2 linked regions of the Anolis sagrei genome follow. The protein of the gene in region 1 interacts with the protein of each later gene in a pairwise test. Links are inferred from orthologs where the notes say so. Each region holds a gene or a part of one and is shown on either strand. Other genes may lie near its edges.

Region 1 (7,185 bases):
GGCTCTTTTACTGTTTCTCAAAAACTTGCAAGACAGAAAAGGTCAATGAATACAAGGTTAGGAAATGGAAGAGATCTGAACATGGACATGGACGCAGAATATTAATGCTGAAGATTCCTTTTTTGATGAACAAAAAATTAATCGGAAAACAATTCAGCATTGATTACATTTCAAGTAAAATCTATAACTCTGAATATAAATATGGTTATATTAAACAGTAACATGCTTCTAGTAAACATATTTTAATAGAGATTTTAATTATTTATTTAATTATTAAAACTAAGTGTTTCAGGAAATTTCAATTACGATTTCAACCAGTTTGATCACAATTAAATCAACTGTGCCTAGTACATCAACACTGTACGAACCCAGGCCACACAGCTCTTATCAGGTTAGAAAAAGCATCAGCAGCTAAATGAATTCTGGTCTCTAAGCTCAGGCTTTTTCCTAGTTGTACAACAGGGAATAAATGTGTGGTTTTCCTAACTTGCCAAATGTACAAGTAGGCTAGCAAAGCTTCAGTTATGGAACTGGGACATCTTCATGTCCTGTGTCTGATTTTTTAAGGAAAAAAGGCTGAAGGGGCAGCATTACATGGGATCTGCCGTTTATTTGTTTAGGTAGCATTGCGATATATATCATACAGCAGAGCTTTCCAAACATTTCATATCAGTGACACACTTTTGAGACATGCATCATTTTGTGACACGGAGATTCAGTTTTATAGCAACCTGTAGGTTAAACCTTTTTATTGAAACTTTTTTATTCGGGCAGGGTTTTTAAAAGGAAGGCTTTTAAAATCAGGTCAGAGGGTTGCTGTGGCTTTAGTTTTGAATACATGTTTATCTGTTTTAAGGATTTAAACTATTAATGTTTATTTCTATTTTAATGTTTGTATATTTTTGGATTTTAAAATGTACGGAAACGCTTTCAAGGTCTCCTTTGAGTCTCCTTTGTGGAGAGGAAAAAGTGGGGTATAAATAAACATCATCATCATCATGCAACTTCTTAAAAGAGATACACACATATATAAATTGTAATAAAAATGTATGGGGACACAACTTATCTCATGAAATTCCTTTTATATGTGTGTGTGTGTGTTTAAAATATATGATTTATTGCTTATTTCACAGAGACTCATAGCACACTAGAGCTGAAAAAGTAGGCAAAGAATCTGCACCCCGTCTGAAATCCTGTGTCTGCTTCCTGTTGAATCAGGGGCTTCAGGGGACTCATATGTGTTCCCCGTAGGTCCATGTCATTGTTGACATTTATATATTGACTTGAAGAACTCTCTACTGTGGTAAATTGACTATTCAAGGATTTCTACACTTGTATCAACTACCACCTGAGGAAGACGCCACATAGTCAAAACTGGTTGTGGTTTATGAACTGTGGACTTCAAAAAAGGGCTGACAAACCTTGATTTGCTGCTGACAAACATTGTTTTAAAAAATGACTTATAAACTTGTGCATTCTGCTGTAGGAATCAGATGTTTATCCCACATTAGGAAATTTTTTGATTCAGAGACTTGCAAAGAAAGGACTTAAAAACTTTGATTGGTTGTTTCTAAACTTGTGATTTTCAAAAAGGACTGATAAACTTGTGCATTTTACTGTAGGAATCAGGTGTTTATCCCACATAAAGGATTTTTTTGGTTTAGAGATTTGCATTGTGTATCTCGGTTAAGTATACTTTGTACAAGCTGTTAGTACATTGAATGTTGTAGTACTACAGCACAGATCTAATGTACATTCTCATGATTATATAACTGCATTACTTTTTGTGTATAGTAGCCTTTTGCCCTTGTGCTTCAGGGGAGCCCCCGATGGCACAGTGGGTTAAACCCTTGTGCCAGCAGGACTGAAGACCGACAGGTAGCAGGTTCAAATCTAGGGAAAGTACAGATGAGCTCCCTCCGTCAGCTCCAGCTCCCCATGTGGGGACATGAGAGTAGCCTCCCACACGGATGGTGAAACCTCAGAAACATCCAGGCGTCCCCTGGGCAACACCCTTGCAGATGGTCACACCAGAAGTGACTTGCAGTTTCTCAAGTCGCCCCTGACATTAAAAAATGAGGCTTCAGGGGAGGGGCCTTTAAAATGCTGTCAGAGGGGCACTGGGTCTCCCTAAACTACAAGCCTCAAAATCCTTCAGAAGGCAGCCACAGGATTTCAGATAGGATGCAGACTCTTTGCTTACTTTTTCAGTTTTAGTGTGATACTGGGTTGTTATAGGTTTTTCGGGCTATATGGCCATGTTGTAGAAGCATTCTCTCCTGACGTTTTGCCTGCATCTATGGCAGGCATCCTCAGAGATTGGGAGTTTTAGTGTGATACTTTGAGACAGGTGGGGCATAGGAACGAAATTCAATGTAGAATATGCTGTAGCTGGAAAGAATAAACTGCAGGTGAAGATGTGTAAGTAGATGCAGGACCTGTGATTAATGGGGCTCTATGGGATTGTGAGTTAGGCTCACATTGGGTTGTAGGCTTTTCGGGCTATATGGTCATGTTGTAGAAGCATTCTCTCCTGATGTTTCGCCTGCATCTATGGCAGGCATCCGCAGAGGTTGTGCTTATAGAACTTGGCCATATAGCCCAAAAAACCTACAATAACCCAGTGAATCTGGCCATGGAAGCCTTCGACAAGACATAGGCTCACATTTCCACTACTCGAAAGTATCCTAAGATCAATACAATTATTTCAGGTGGGATGCAGGCTCTTGGCCTAGTCTTTCAGCTCTAGTAGGGCACGGCGACCTTGTCAGGCAGGACGTGTGGGCCTGTCCTGGCTTCCCTCTGAGGCTGAGAGGGTGTGCTTTGAGGTACCCACCTGCGGCCAGGCTCCGTCCCCCCGCTCCCGCTCCCGCTCGTACAGCGCCGTGGGGGCCTTGGTGTGAGGGTCCACCGGCCTTCGGAGGCAGGACACAGCGAGGGAAGCGGCCCGGTGACCCGCATCCATCCCGCTCCCCGCGAGCGCGCGACTGAATGAAAGCCCTCGCTGGGTTACCAAGGCGCCCGGCTTGGGACGCTACGGCATCTCTTAGGGAACACAACACCTTCGCTAACGGCCGCGCGGACAGGACTCTCCTGAGGGCGGGGCCTCCAGGACAATTGTGCGCACGCGCCGAAAAGAACCGCACGTCGCCCATTGACAGAACTAAACTACATTGACCTCCAGCTGGCCCCATTCATCCTCTGTTGTCCCACTTTCTTATCTCTCCTCCCAATTTCCCTCCCTCCTTCTTCATCTTACTGCAGCTGCTGCAGAATGAGTTCAAAGCCTTCCAGGTAGGCCCCCATAGCCCAGGATTTGGCCCCGGTTTTTCTGTTTATCCCAGATTATCTGGCAGTGTGGACTCATATAAAGGTAAAGGTTGTCCCCTGACATTAAGTCCAGTCATGTCTGACTCTGGGGTGTGGTGCTCATCTCCATTTCTAAGCCGAAGAGCCGGCGTTGTCCATAGACACCTCCAAGGTCATATGGCCGGCATGACTGCATGGAGCGCAGTTACCTTCCCGCCGGAGTGGTACCTATTGATCTACTCACATTTGCATGTTTTCGAACTGCTAGGTTGGCAGAAGCTGGGGCTGACAGCGGAAGCTCACGCCGCTCCCTGGAATCGAACCTGCGACCTTTTGGTCAACAAGCTCAGCAGTTCAGTTCTTTAACCCACTGCGCCACCGGACTCATATAATCCAGTTTAAAACAGAAAACCTGGGATCAGATTCTGGGATATAGGGCCTGTCGGGAAAAAACCCTTATTTTGCCTCTTTTGACTCAGGAGGAGTGCAAACTCTTGCCCAAGCAAAAGGGAAGCATGGATTATGCTGTAGAGCATACTCAGAAATTGTATTATTGTTTTAGCTGACGGTTTTATGTTGCGATGTTTTTAAGATGATGTAAACTGCCTAGGGTCCGCCTGAGGAAAGGTGGCATAGACATTTCCTAAATAAATAAATAAAAGGCAACTGCCTTCTCTCTTTGCTTGGGTTCCCCTCATTCAATAACCTTTGCCATCTTTACCATAAATGTATTGTCAAAGGTTGGAATCACAGGGTTGCTGTGAGTTTTTCAGGCTGTATGGCCATGTTTCAGTAGCATTTTCCCCTGACGTTTCACCTGCATCTTTGGCTAATGGCATCTTCAGAGGTTCTGTTGGCAGTGAAGCAAATGGGTGTGTGTGTATGTAGGGAATGCCCAGGGTGGGAGAAAGAACCCTTGTCTATTTGTTGCAGTTTGCAAGCTCGATTAGCATTGAATAGCTTTGCAACTGCAATCAATTAGTGAGAGTATTGTTGTCTGGAGGCATCATTTGGGAGGTAATAACGGGCACTTGGTTGTTTGCTGTCTGGAGTTGTTTTCTTTTTTAAAATATTTTTATTAGTTTTGAAAATAATGCACTTAAAAGGAGAAAGAGAAAGAAAAAAGAGAAAGAGGGGAACGGGGGGGGGGGGGCTGAAAGGGAGAGGGAAGGGTTGTGACTTAGTGATGAGTTGAGGTGTAAAGAGAAAGAAAAAAAGGGGGGTGCAGGATTGGTGGATGGAGGAGCATTTGTAGTCTTCATATTCTGTCCCGTAGGTTGATGGTATTTTTCCTTATCATTTTCCTTGTTTTCTGTCCTTGTATCTTTATTCTTTCTTATCGGATTCTTTCTTCTATGAAGTTCTTGACTGTGGTCCAATCAGTCTTCTCTTGTTTTCCCTTGATTGTTTCTAAGGTTGTGTGTAAGATAGTCCATATTCATAATTTCTGTAACTTTTATTATCCAGCCTTCAATACTTGGTGTGTCTTTCTCTTTCCACTTTTTAGCATATGTGATTCTCGCAGCCGTAGTCAAGTAGCTAAATAATTTTTCCAGTATAGACAATTAAAAGAGGCATTCCAGAGACAAGAAAATTGGATTTGAAAAAGAAAAATCATGGGATAAGAACCTGATCTCTAAAAACAAACTAATTTCCAGAATTTACAAAATATTACTCGCTTGGTCAACGGAAAAAGAACATAAAAGAATGCATGGTGAGGTGGGCACAAAACATCGGCCACAATATATGTATATCAGAATGGGAGAGCATATGGAACATCACACTAAAATACACAGACTCCCATGATCTATGCGAGAAGTGGTACAAGATGATGTACCGCTGGTACATAACTCCAAGCAAATTATCCAAATGTTACAAGAACATGTCAGATAAATGTTGGAAATGCCATTCTCAGGTGGGTTCCTTTTTCCACCTCTGGTGGTCATGTAAAAAGGCAATTAAATTTTGGAAAATGATACTCATTGCAATGGAAAAGATTATTGGCCAACCCATAGAACTGAAACCGAATACGTCTTACTAGGAATTGTCGAGTTCTCCTGTTTTCAAGTGGTGTTTCTTTATTTACTGTATTGATTATGGTGTTTTTAATACTGGTAACCAGAATTTGTTCATTTTCATGGTTTCCTCTGCATATTTGTGGATTTCAATGGCTTGTGGATTTCAGTTACCATAAATGCTGTCACAGCTGTCCTGGTTTTCATCTGAAATGTTGGGACATAGCTGTGAATTGGTGGCAGTTGGTAACTAGTCTCAAAGCTTAGTAAGAGAAGATTCTGTGCTATTCAAAAATTGAGATTTATTGAGTAGGGAAAATGAGTTACAGCCATTTCTCAGGACTTGGTGGCCAGAGGAGTCTTCCATTACACTCCTGTATATTAAGAAATACATCCATATGCATGGCAGAGCAGCTACCTTTACTCCCGCTGGCATGGATGGGGAGCAGGGATGTATGGTTATCATGAGCCCATATGAGGGATTTGTGTGCTGTCTTACAGTCACTTTGTACTGTATTTTAGCATTATAATTCTTGCAATTCAAAGGAGCAACATCTGCACCTCATTATCTTTAGGCTGGAGCTACACTTACTTCCTATTCACAAATAATCCATTAGTACTCTGAATCCGTTTTAGTTTTGCTTACAGATATTGCTACAAGCCACAAGTGTCCTGAAAAACCATCTGTGCATGCCGTTTCTCCTCACAAGTTTGAAGAACCCTTATATGTGCCTCTGGGATATGTGACTTACTATTTAGATACCCGCATTTCATCACATAATAGTCTCCATTGCAAAAAATGGGCTTTTTTCACTGTGCAACAGTTGCCACCACATAATAATCACACACCTCTTTTTTTCACCTTGCGTCTTAGAACAGAGACAGCAGTACTGGGTTTGGACAATCTTTTCGCAGCCTCACTGTATCCAAATTTCTAGGTGTTACAAGAAGTGACCAACACCTACTATTAAAAAGACATTGCCTTTAACTACCAATTTGGGATAAAAATGTTGCATGTCTTGTATTTTCTTCAGAATACCGTTCTTAACATGTGTCAATCCTGTTCTTAGAAACTATTATTAGATTTATACGATACAACATTTAATTATACCTTCAGTGAAATACATGCTAGATTTAAAAGTACCAATTGCTGACAGTTAACAGCTGACAGATACGGTTACAGCCCAAGACATGACATAAATAAAGCCCCACAAATTAAGTCTCACTAATTTCAAAGGATGTGAAATTGCTTAAGTCTCTTCAGCCACAATAGTAGAGTTTAAAGGTAGACATGGTCTAGCAAAGTGTAAAGCAGAGCTTTTGGCAATCAATGCAATATGTGTTCAAGTATTTTGTTATATAAAAAAATTAAAACAAAGCCTTTCAAATTTGAGGTTTTATTAATTTAAATTGACAAAAGTACGCCAGTGTAACTTGGAATTAAGCAGATGTCCAACACAGTTTGTGTGAAGACGTCATGTTAGAAACGTATGACATGTTGCTGACCTGTGCTTTCTTTTCCTTTAGACCTTTCATCGAGTGTTTACCTGCAAAAAATGAGAGATTATTGTATGACACTTCATCACTATATTACTTATTTAACATTATTCAATATAATTTCCACTAATAATTACAATGCCTCTTTGAATCTTAACTATTTCATCAGTTGTCATTAAACACTCAGCATTTCAACACTGATGCAAGGCAGTAACAGATCTGTGAAATGTAACAAAGTAAACATTTGAGAGAACATTTTATGAGTATTTAAACTATGCTTACCACATCGTCAATCTTCAGGATGCTGCGTACGGTTTCTGTAGCCAGGGTGAGAGCGCTGACAGATACCAACAACGGTTGGACA
Region 2 (8,060 bases), about 150 Mb from region 1:
GAGTAGTAGTACTGGGGTTCCATCTACACTAGCCATTTAATGCAGTTTGAAGCTAAGTTCAAAATGTGGCGACCAAATAATAAACTCTCACAAAAGAAAGAAAGCCCTCAATGCACCCCAGTGCTCTGTTATTTGGGTAATTATCATCTGACCCTCAAACTGGTTCCATGGTATCATTTGCACAGCAGAAGAGCATTCTTAAATGCTATTTTGAAACTGCATTAAATGGTCAGTGTAGATAGGGCCACAGAATGCAAATCCTGGGATATCTGAAAAGGTCCAGCAGCACTGAATGTTATGATTATATCCCAAAGCCAGCAGTGACAAAGATCGATAGACTGGGTCTCGGCTAAAGTTTTTTTTAAAAAAAACAGTGTCACCCTAAAACTTATTTTTAGGGGAGCTAAGAGAGAAACACAATCTTTCTCTCTCTTATTCATAGATTTACATATACTCACAACAAAACTTGGCTTATTTACAAAGTAATTCAGAAGGAGGCATGGAAAAGAGAAAAGTCAAATATCTTACTTTAGTTTGGTAGTCACAAATATTATTATTAGATTTGAAATTTCCAACCTTTTATCACTCAGTCCTATATGGTAATGTACTTTAGCTGTACTGTACCCTGCCTTCAGGAGAGGTGGCCACAAATAAATAATAAAAATATTTAAGAGACCAGAAGTCAGAACCAATGAGGTTGTGACAACTTAGTAGCATGTTTGTCTTATATGTTAAAAAAATAAAGGCTACTGGCAGATCTTTTGTCTGCTATCCCTTTCTATTTCTCTTGCACTATAATAATAATGGGCCTCCTGGTAGCACAGCGGGTTAAACCGCTGAGCTGCTGAACTTGCTGACTGAAAGGTTGGAAGTTTGAATCCAGGGAGCAGGGTAGGCTCTCGCTGTTAGGCCCAGCTTTTGTCAACCTAGCAGTTCGAGAACATGCAAATGTGAGTAGATCAATAGGTACCACTTCTGCAGGAAGGTAACGATGCTCCAGGCAGTCATGCCGGCCGTGGAGGTGTCTACGGACAACACTGGCTCTTTGGCTTAGAAATGGAGATGAGCACCACCTCCCAGTAATAATACAATAATATTAAAAAAGACTAGAAGTCAGAACCAATTTAATAGTAATATTTAAAAAGACTAGGAGTCAGAACCAATTAGGTTGTGACAACTTAGTAGCATGTTTGTCCTATATGTTATAAAAATAAAGGATTCTGGCAGATCTTCTGTCTTCCATCCTTTTCCATTTGTCTTGCACTATAATAATAATGCCCCCCCCCCACTGGTGCAGCGGGTTACACCTCTGAGCTGCTGATCTTGCTGACCGAAAGGTTGGCAAATCAAATTCGGGGAGCAGGGTGAGCTCCCGTTGTTAGGCCCACTTTCTCCCAACCTAGCAGTTTGAAAACATGCAAAGTGAGTAGATCAATGGGAACCACTTTTGCGGGAAGGTAACAGTGCTCCATGTAGTCATACTAGCTACATGGCCTTGGAGGTGTCTATGGACAGTGCTGGCTCTTCGGCTTAGAAATGGAGATGAGCACCACCCCCCAGAGTCGGGCATGACTGGACTTAATGTCAGGGGAAACTTTTACCTTTACTACTACTACTAATAATAATAATAATAATATACTATAATATAATAATAAAACTTTATTTATAACCTGTCCTATCTCCCGGGGGAGGGGATCCTCAGGGCAATTTCCCAAAAAGGATGGAAAACATTTAATACCACAATAAACAATAGAAACAAAACAAATCAAACCAAACAGTAAACAAACACATAAATACAAACTTATAGTAACTGGCCACCATACATATCTATTTGACAGTTTGCCCCACTAAATTTAATAGTTTACTTTCATATTAGCGTGCATAGGATTACAACCTTCCCTGTTTTCAGGAGGCCTTGCTTTTGATCCTCTTCTCTAAATCTGATCAGAGTTAATGCCTACCACCTGGAAATGTTTTGCAATTGCACTCTATATTCAAATTCAAAACAGCACAAAAAGAAAAGTCAAAAGAGGAATATACTGGGGTTGCAACTCATAAGAATATAACATTATATCAATGCTGTTAAGAGCACCAGCACCTTTTGGTAGTGGGGTCCAGAGGTGACCAATGGACTCTGCTTTGGAATGTCGTGCCTCCTCCCTAGCAATGTTTTCCTTGAGTGCATCTCCACTGTAGAATTAACACAGTTTGACACCACATGGCTCTGTGTTACAGAATTCTGGGTTTGTGGTCATCCTTTGGTAGAGAAGACTAATGGCCTTGTAGGATTACAACTCTAAGGATTCCATAGCCTTGAGTTATGGAATTGAGTTAAAATAGTATCAAAATGCATTCATTCAACAGTTAATCTCAAAGGTGCCCTAATACATGGAAGGCAGTGCAAGCGGGAACACCTTTTATTATCCTCTTCTGATGCTTCCCAAACCCCTCCACAGTCCCCAAACACTCAGCTTACACTGTAGAACAGGCATGGGCAAACTTCGCCCCTCCAGTTGTTTTGGACTACAACTCCCACAATTCCTAACAGCCTCAGGCCCTTTCTTTTTGCCCCTCATCTGCTTAGCCAAAGTTTGCCCATGCCTGTTGTAGAATGAATGCAGTTTGGCACTACTTTGAACCGTCATGGGTCAAAGCTAAGGAGCCCTGGGAGTTGTAGTTTTGCCAAGGCACCAGGGGAGGCTGAAGCCCTTGCACAACTACAGATTCCATAGCATTGAGCCATGGCCCTTGACTTGGTATCAAACTGCATTCATTCTACCAGAGGAGAGGAAATCAGAGATTGCCCTGGTAATGAATGCTTAAGAGGGAACTTCCTAGCCACTCCGTGCGCATGCGTGTTGCAGTTCTTTTCCCCCTCCTCCTACCCCTCCCAAAAGGAATTCCGTCCCGTTAGAAAGGCGGCTGCAGTTACCTATTTGCCTCGCGCAGTCGGCCGGGTTGCGCGCGTGAGGCGAAGGAAGCGGCACCGCTGGGCTCGCGACCCCCAAAGGGCTAGGGCGACTGAGCTTCATTCATTTGTAGACTCGCCTCTACGCTGTCCACTTCCGGCGCCCTTGCGACACCTCCCCTCTCCCCCGAGGGAAAGGCTGGGTGGAGACACTCCTCATTCGAGAACCCACGGGTGCCTCTCTACACTATAGCATTAATGCAGTTTGACACCACTTTAACTGCCATGGGTCAATGCTATGAAACCACAGAAGTTGTAGTTTTAAAAGTTATCTTGCCTTCTCTGCTGGAGCCTTCTCAAGCCACAACGCCCAGGATCCCATAGCATTGAGACCTGGCAGTTAAAGTGGTGTCAAACTGCATTAATTCAGACTGTGTAGATCAGTGCTTCTCAACCTTGGGTCCCCAGATGTTTTTGGCCTACAACTCCCAGAAATCCAAGCTAGTTTACCAGCTGTTAGGATTTCTGGGAATTGTAGGCCAAAAACATCTGGGGACCCCAGGTTGGGAACCACTGGTGTAGATGCATCTTCTGTGTGGGTTGCATGTTAGGCCAAGGGTGCAGTTACACTGTAGAGTTAATATAAAATATAAAATTATAACAGTAAACAAAGAACAAAACTCCAGACAAGAAACAAACAGGAACACCTAATCACCTCTCAACAAAGGATTTTCCCAGGCAGTAACAAGTTACACCTAAAAACCGTCAGGCCATCAAATGCTAATCAAGGTGGCCAATTGAAACAATTACACCTAGCTCCAACAGACAAGAGTTCTTTCTCCCACACTGGACTTTCCACAGATATATAAACCCAATTGTTCTAGTTTCCAACAGACCTCACAACTTTTGAGGATGCCTGCCACAGTTGTAGGCGAAACGTCAGGAGAGAATGCTTCTAGAACATGGCCATACAGCCCGAAAAACCTACCACAACCCAGTGATTCTGGCCACGAAAGCCTTTCAACAATACAGAGTTAATATAGTTTGACATGCAACTGGGATTCAGTTTGGGCTTGTGGTTGATGTAGTTCATCCCATTGTTTATACGGGAAACTCTCAACCAGAACTCAAGCAACCTACAAAAGCAAAGAAATAATACATTAAAATTAAACCAATTTTAGTAGAAATGGAAGTTTAAATTAAGTTTGTCTTTATTTGCTTTCAACTACTGTATTTCAATATTAATATCAATACAAAATTTCTGGTATGAAGTATACTATACTAGGCCCATTTTTAATAGTAGCTCTCAAGCAACCAGAAACTACACCTATCCGGTATCTACATAGCCCCATGGGTGCCAGTTAACTGAGAGTCTACTGCATTGCAGATTGGGCTCATCTCCACTTCTCAGTATTACCATTGCCTGGTTGGCTATCATAATATTTGAGTATTCTTTATTGTGTTCATATTAGAAAACTCTTTTTAATGTTTCCATATAAATTCCCTTTTCCCTTTATATATTTACAGCTTCCTCTAGTTTCTAAGATGAGTCTAGGCCCGGTCATTGCTGAAAGGCTGGCTTTCTCAAGGGTCATCTTATAGGTATACCTTGGGACGAAATGAATAAGCAACCCGGAAGCTCAACGGCTCTTGGTGCTCTACTATTTCCACACTCTGTGCTCATTCTGGCACAACAAACATTCACGCAGGAGGCGTGACCAACAGGCTTGGAACTGTCATCCAGTCGCTGGCCCTAGATGTCAATCAAACGATGGAGGCGGGACAGAAGAACCTCATTGGTGGGCGAAGACTGAGTGTTGTTTGGGAGTGTTCGAAAAGGGGGGAGGAGTTTGATTAACTCATAGAAGTTAGGAGGAAGAGGTGGTGCATAGTAAAGGGGATTAACTCCTTATGTTGTCGAAGACTTTCATGGCCAGAATCACTGGGTTGCTGTGAGTTTTCTGGGTTGTATGGCCATGTTCCAGAAGCATTCTCTCCTGACGTTTCGCCTGCATAGGTGCAGGCGAAACGTCAGGAGAGAATGCTTCTGGAACATGGCCATACAGCCCAGAAAACTCACAGCAACCCAGTGAGGTCACAAGCTCTGAGAAGTCAGTGTCTCTGAGACTTCACAACTTCTGAGGATGCCTGCCATAGGTGCAGGCGAAACGTCAGGAGAGAATGCTTCTGGAACATGGCCATGCAGCCCGGAAAACTCACAGCAACCCATTAACTCTTTAATCAGCTTGAAAATCCAAGGTACGTCTCCACTGGAGCATTTATGGAGTTTGAGACCACTTTAGCTCCCAAGGCTCAATATTAAAGAATCCTGAGAGTTATAGTTTTACAAGGTCTATGAGTACTGGTCTTTGCCAAACTACAACTTTCCACAGGATTGTGCCATGGCAGTTAGAAGTAGTGCCAAACTGTATCCCTGCTACAGTGCAGATGCAACCCTAGCTGGCATCTACTTAAACTAGGCGGAAGAGAGGGAAAAAAACTTTTGAAAACTCATTTCATATCCATCCCATTGAAACCTGCTCTTTATAATGGTAGGGCCATATCTACGCCCTTTCTCTAATTATAAGTTGACTATCCATTATTTGAAATGCTTGGGAACAGAATTAGTTCATAGTTTGGATTTTTGGGGATTTTGGAATACAGTACTTGCATATACAGAATAAGATATGTGGATGAGACTTGTGGCTAAACACGAAATTCATTCATGTGCCATATAACTATGCAAATAGCTTTAAGGTAATTTTATACACCATATCAATAATTTTGTATGTGAGACTATTTGTGTACCCTATACCATCAGAGCAAAAATCCATGGACTATTTCAGAATTTGAAATTCTGCATAATGGATGCTCAACCCAAAATTGATTGCCATACAGAGCAACCCGAAGCCTCGCTGTTAAGTCATTCACCACAATTGTGTTGTTGCTTGAGTGTTGGATTGGGGTTTGAAGTCCTGTTTGGCCATGGAAGCATACTGAGTGGCTTTGGGAAAGTCACTCTCTCTCAGCTTTGGAGGGAAGTACGGGCAAATACTCCTTGGATCAAATTCTGCCAAGGAAACCCCAATATGGTTCACCATGAATCAGAAATGACTTGAAGGCCCAAAATTATGTAAAGGATTTGATTTCGGTAGCCCCTTGCTTTCCTCTGAGGTTGAGAGAGTGTGACTTCTCTGAATTCATTTGCAGTGGTTCTCAACCTGTGGGTCCTCAGATGTTTTGGCCTCCAACTCCCAGAAATCCCAGGCCATTTACCACCAGTTAGGATTTCTGGGAGTTGAAGGCCAAAACATCTGGGCACCACTGGGCACTGATTTAGTGGGTTTTGGGGGCCAATTAGACTGAGAGGGGAAAAAAAACATTGGAGGAAGGAGCACCAACAATATTCAAGTGACACCAAAATACCAAGACATTGAATGATTACTGAATAGTCAAGGTAGAAAGTGCAGAAGCGGGTTTACAGTTGAACGTTAAGAAAACAAAATATAATGACCATGAATGATTTACATAACTTTAAAGTAGACATTGAAAAAGTTAAAGATTTCCCGTACTTGGTTCAATCATTAATCAGAGTTGAGATTGTGGTCAAAAAATCCGAAAATGACAAAGGTTTGGAAGGGCAGTTTTGAAAAAACTAGACAAGATTCTAAAGTGTTGAGATATATCATGAATGCTAAAGTTAGAATGGTCCATGTCGTTGTATGCCCCGTTTCTATGTATGGTTGTGAAAGCTGGACAGCAAAACAAAACAAAACCCCAAAACAAAACAACAACAAAAGCAAATTGGAAGAAAATCAACTTATTTGAGGTGAAGTGCTGGAAAAGAGTTCTGCAGACACTGTAGACTGCCAAGATGATTAAATGGAGACTGTTGTACTTTGGACATATAAGAAGAAAATGTAACACGGTGATAATGTAACACGGTTTTTGTTCCTGGGTTATAAATGTCATTTCCCACTTGGTTCTATCATAAAAACATGGGGAAAGCTTATTAAACTGCAAAAACTTTGCGGGACATCCTGCAGCATGTTTTGCTGTAACTTTCAATGAATATCTAATAGTCTCAGCCAATTCAACATAGTTTATGGCAGCCACAAAAACAAAGCTTCTAGAGTATAACAACTACTTTCAAACTACTGCACAATTAAACAGGAAATAACACTTTCAAACCAGAAACAGAAAAGAAATCAATTTTATTACATAGTATAATGTTTGCAGATGTGGAGAGCAGTAGGAAAAGAGGAAGACAACATTTCAGATGGATAAACTTAATGAGAGAAGCAATAGGTCTGAGTCTGCAAGACCTGAACAGGCCTGTTGAAGTTAGATCAGTGGTTCCCAATCTGTGGTCCGTGGAACACCAGTGGTCCTGCCAGAACTAAAATATGGTCCGCAACCTCACCATTACTACAACATTGCAATGAGAGCGGCTGATCTTGTGAAAGCCTCTTATAATGCCGAGGTTTATTAAATATGGTTTTTGGTGAGCGAGCAGATGGTGACTACTGGATGACATATGTTCTCTATCAGAAACTAGAGCTAGTGTGATCTATCCAATGCAGTTTTCTAAATCAGCACCCCAAATAACCAAACCGAATCTAAAGTTGACCAAAAACTGATTTGTAACCCTTTGGGTACTAATGTTGGAGAGTGGTCCCTGGTCAAAATGTCCCTGGTCAAAGAAAGGTTGAGAACCACTAAGTTAGAGTAACTTTGATGTCTCTCAGTCATAAAGAGTCCTGCCTCAGTCAAAAACCAATCCAAAACTGAGGCTCATTGACTCATAATTACTCTCCTGGCTCAACTTCATTTAAAAAAAGAACATGATCTTCTTTTAATAAGAGCACCAGGAGGCTGAATCTTGTATCATCTCCCATGTTTCCACATTCAATAATATCGGTGATATGAACTACATGAAAGTGAGAAACCATGAATAAAGACATTGCTATTTTTTTACCCAAGAAAACACCTATCTGGGAATTTCAAGATTTCACTTCACTTCACTTTATTTCTTAATTAGTCGCTCTCCACCAAGGTGCTCTGAGCAACTTACAATTTAAAATAGCATTTACACAATATAAAAACATTCAACATAAAAACATTCAACAGTGACTATTTGGCAAATTAGATC

The links.
Region 2: the proteins of FAM161A (region 1) and MIPOL1 interact in binary tests that used the Homo sapiens proteins (3 or more experiments, as listed by UniProt). The two-hybrid records come from large-scale screens. The link is inferred for Anolis sagrei from reciprocal best matches to the Homo sapiens genes FAM161A and MIPOL1.

The regions. Positions count from the first base shown.
Region 1 is NC_090021.1:151,971,950-151,979,134, forward strand, and holds the start of FAM161A (protein FAM161A), read right to left. Parts: upstream 3,105-7,185; 5' UTR 2,966-3,104; coding exon 2,837-2,965; intron 1-2,836. Other genes in the region: CCT4 (T-complex protein 1 subunit delta), read right to left, coding at 6,857-6,871, 7,104-7,185. UniProt on the Homo sapiens protein: Involved in ciliogenesis.
Region 2 is NC_090021.1:302,547,734-302,555,793, reverse strand, and holds the start of MIPOL1 (mirror-image polydactyly gene 1 protein), read right to left. Parts: upstream 3,064-8,060; 5' UTR 2,933-3,063; intron 1-2,932.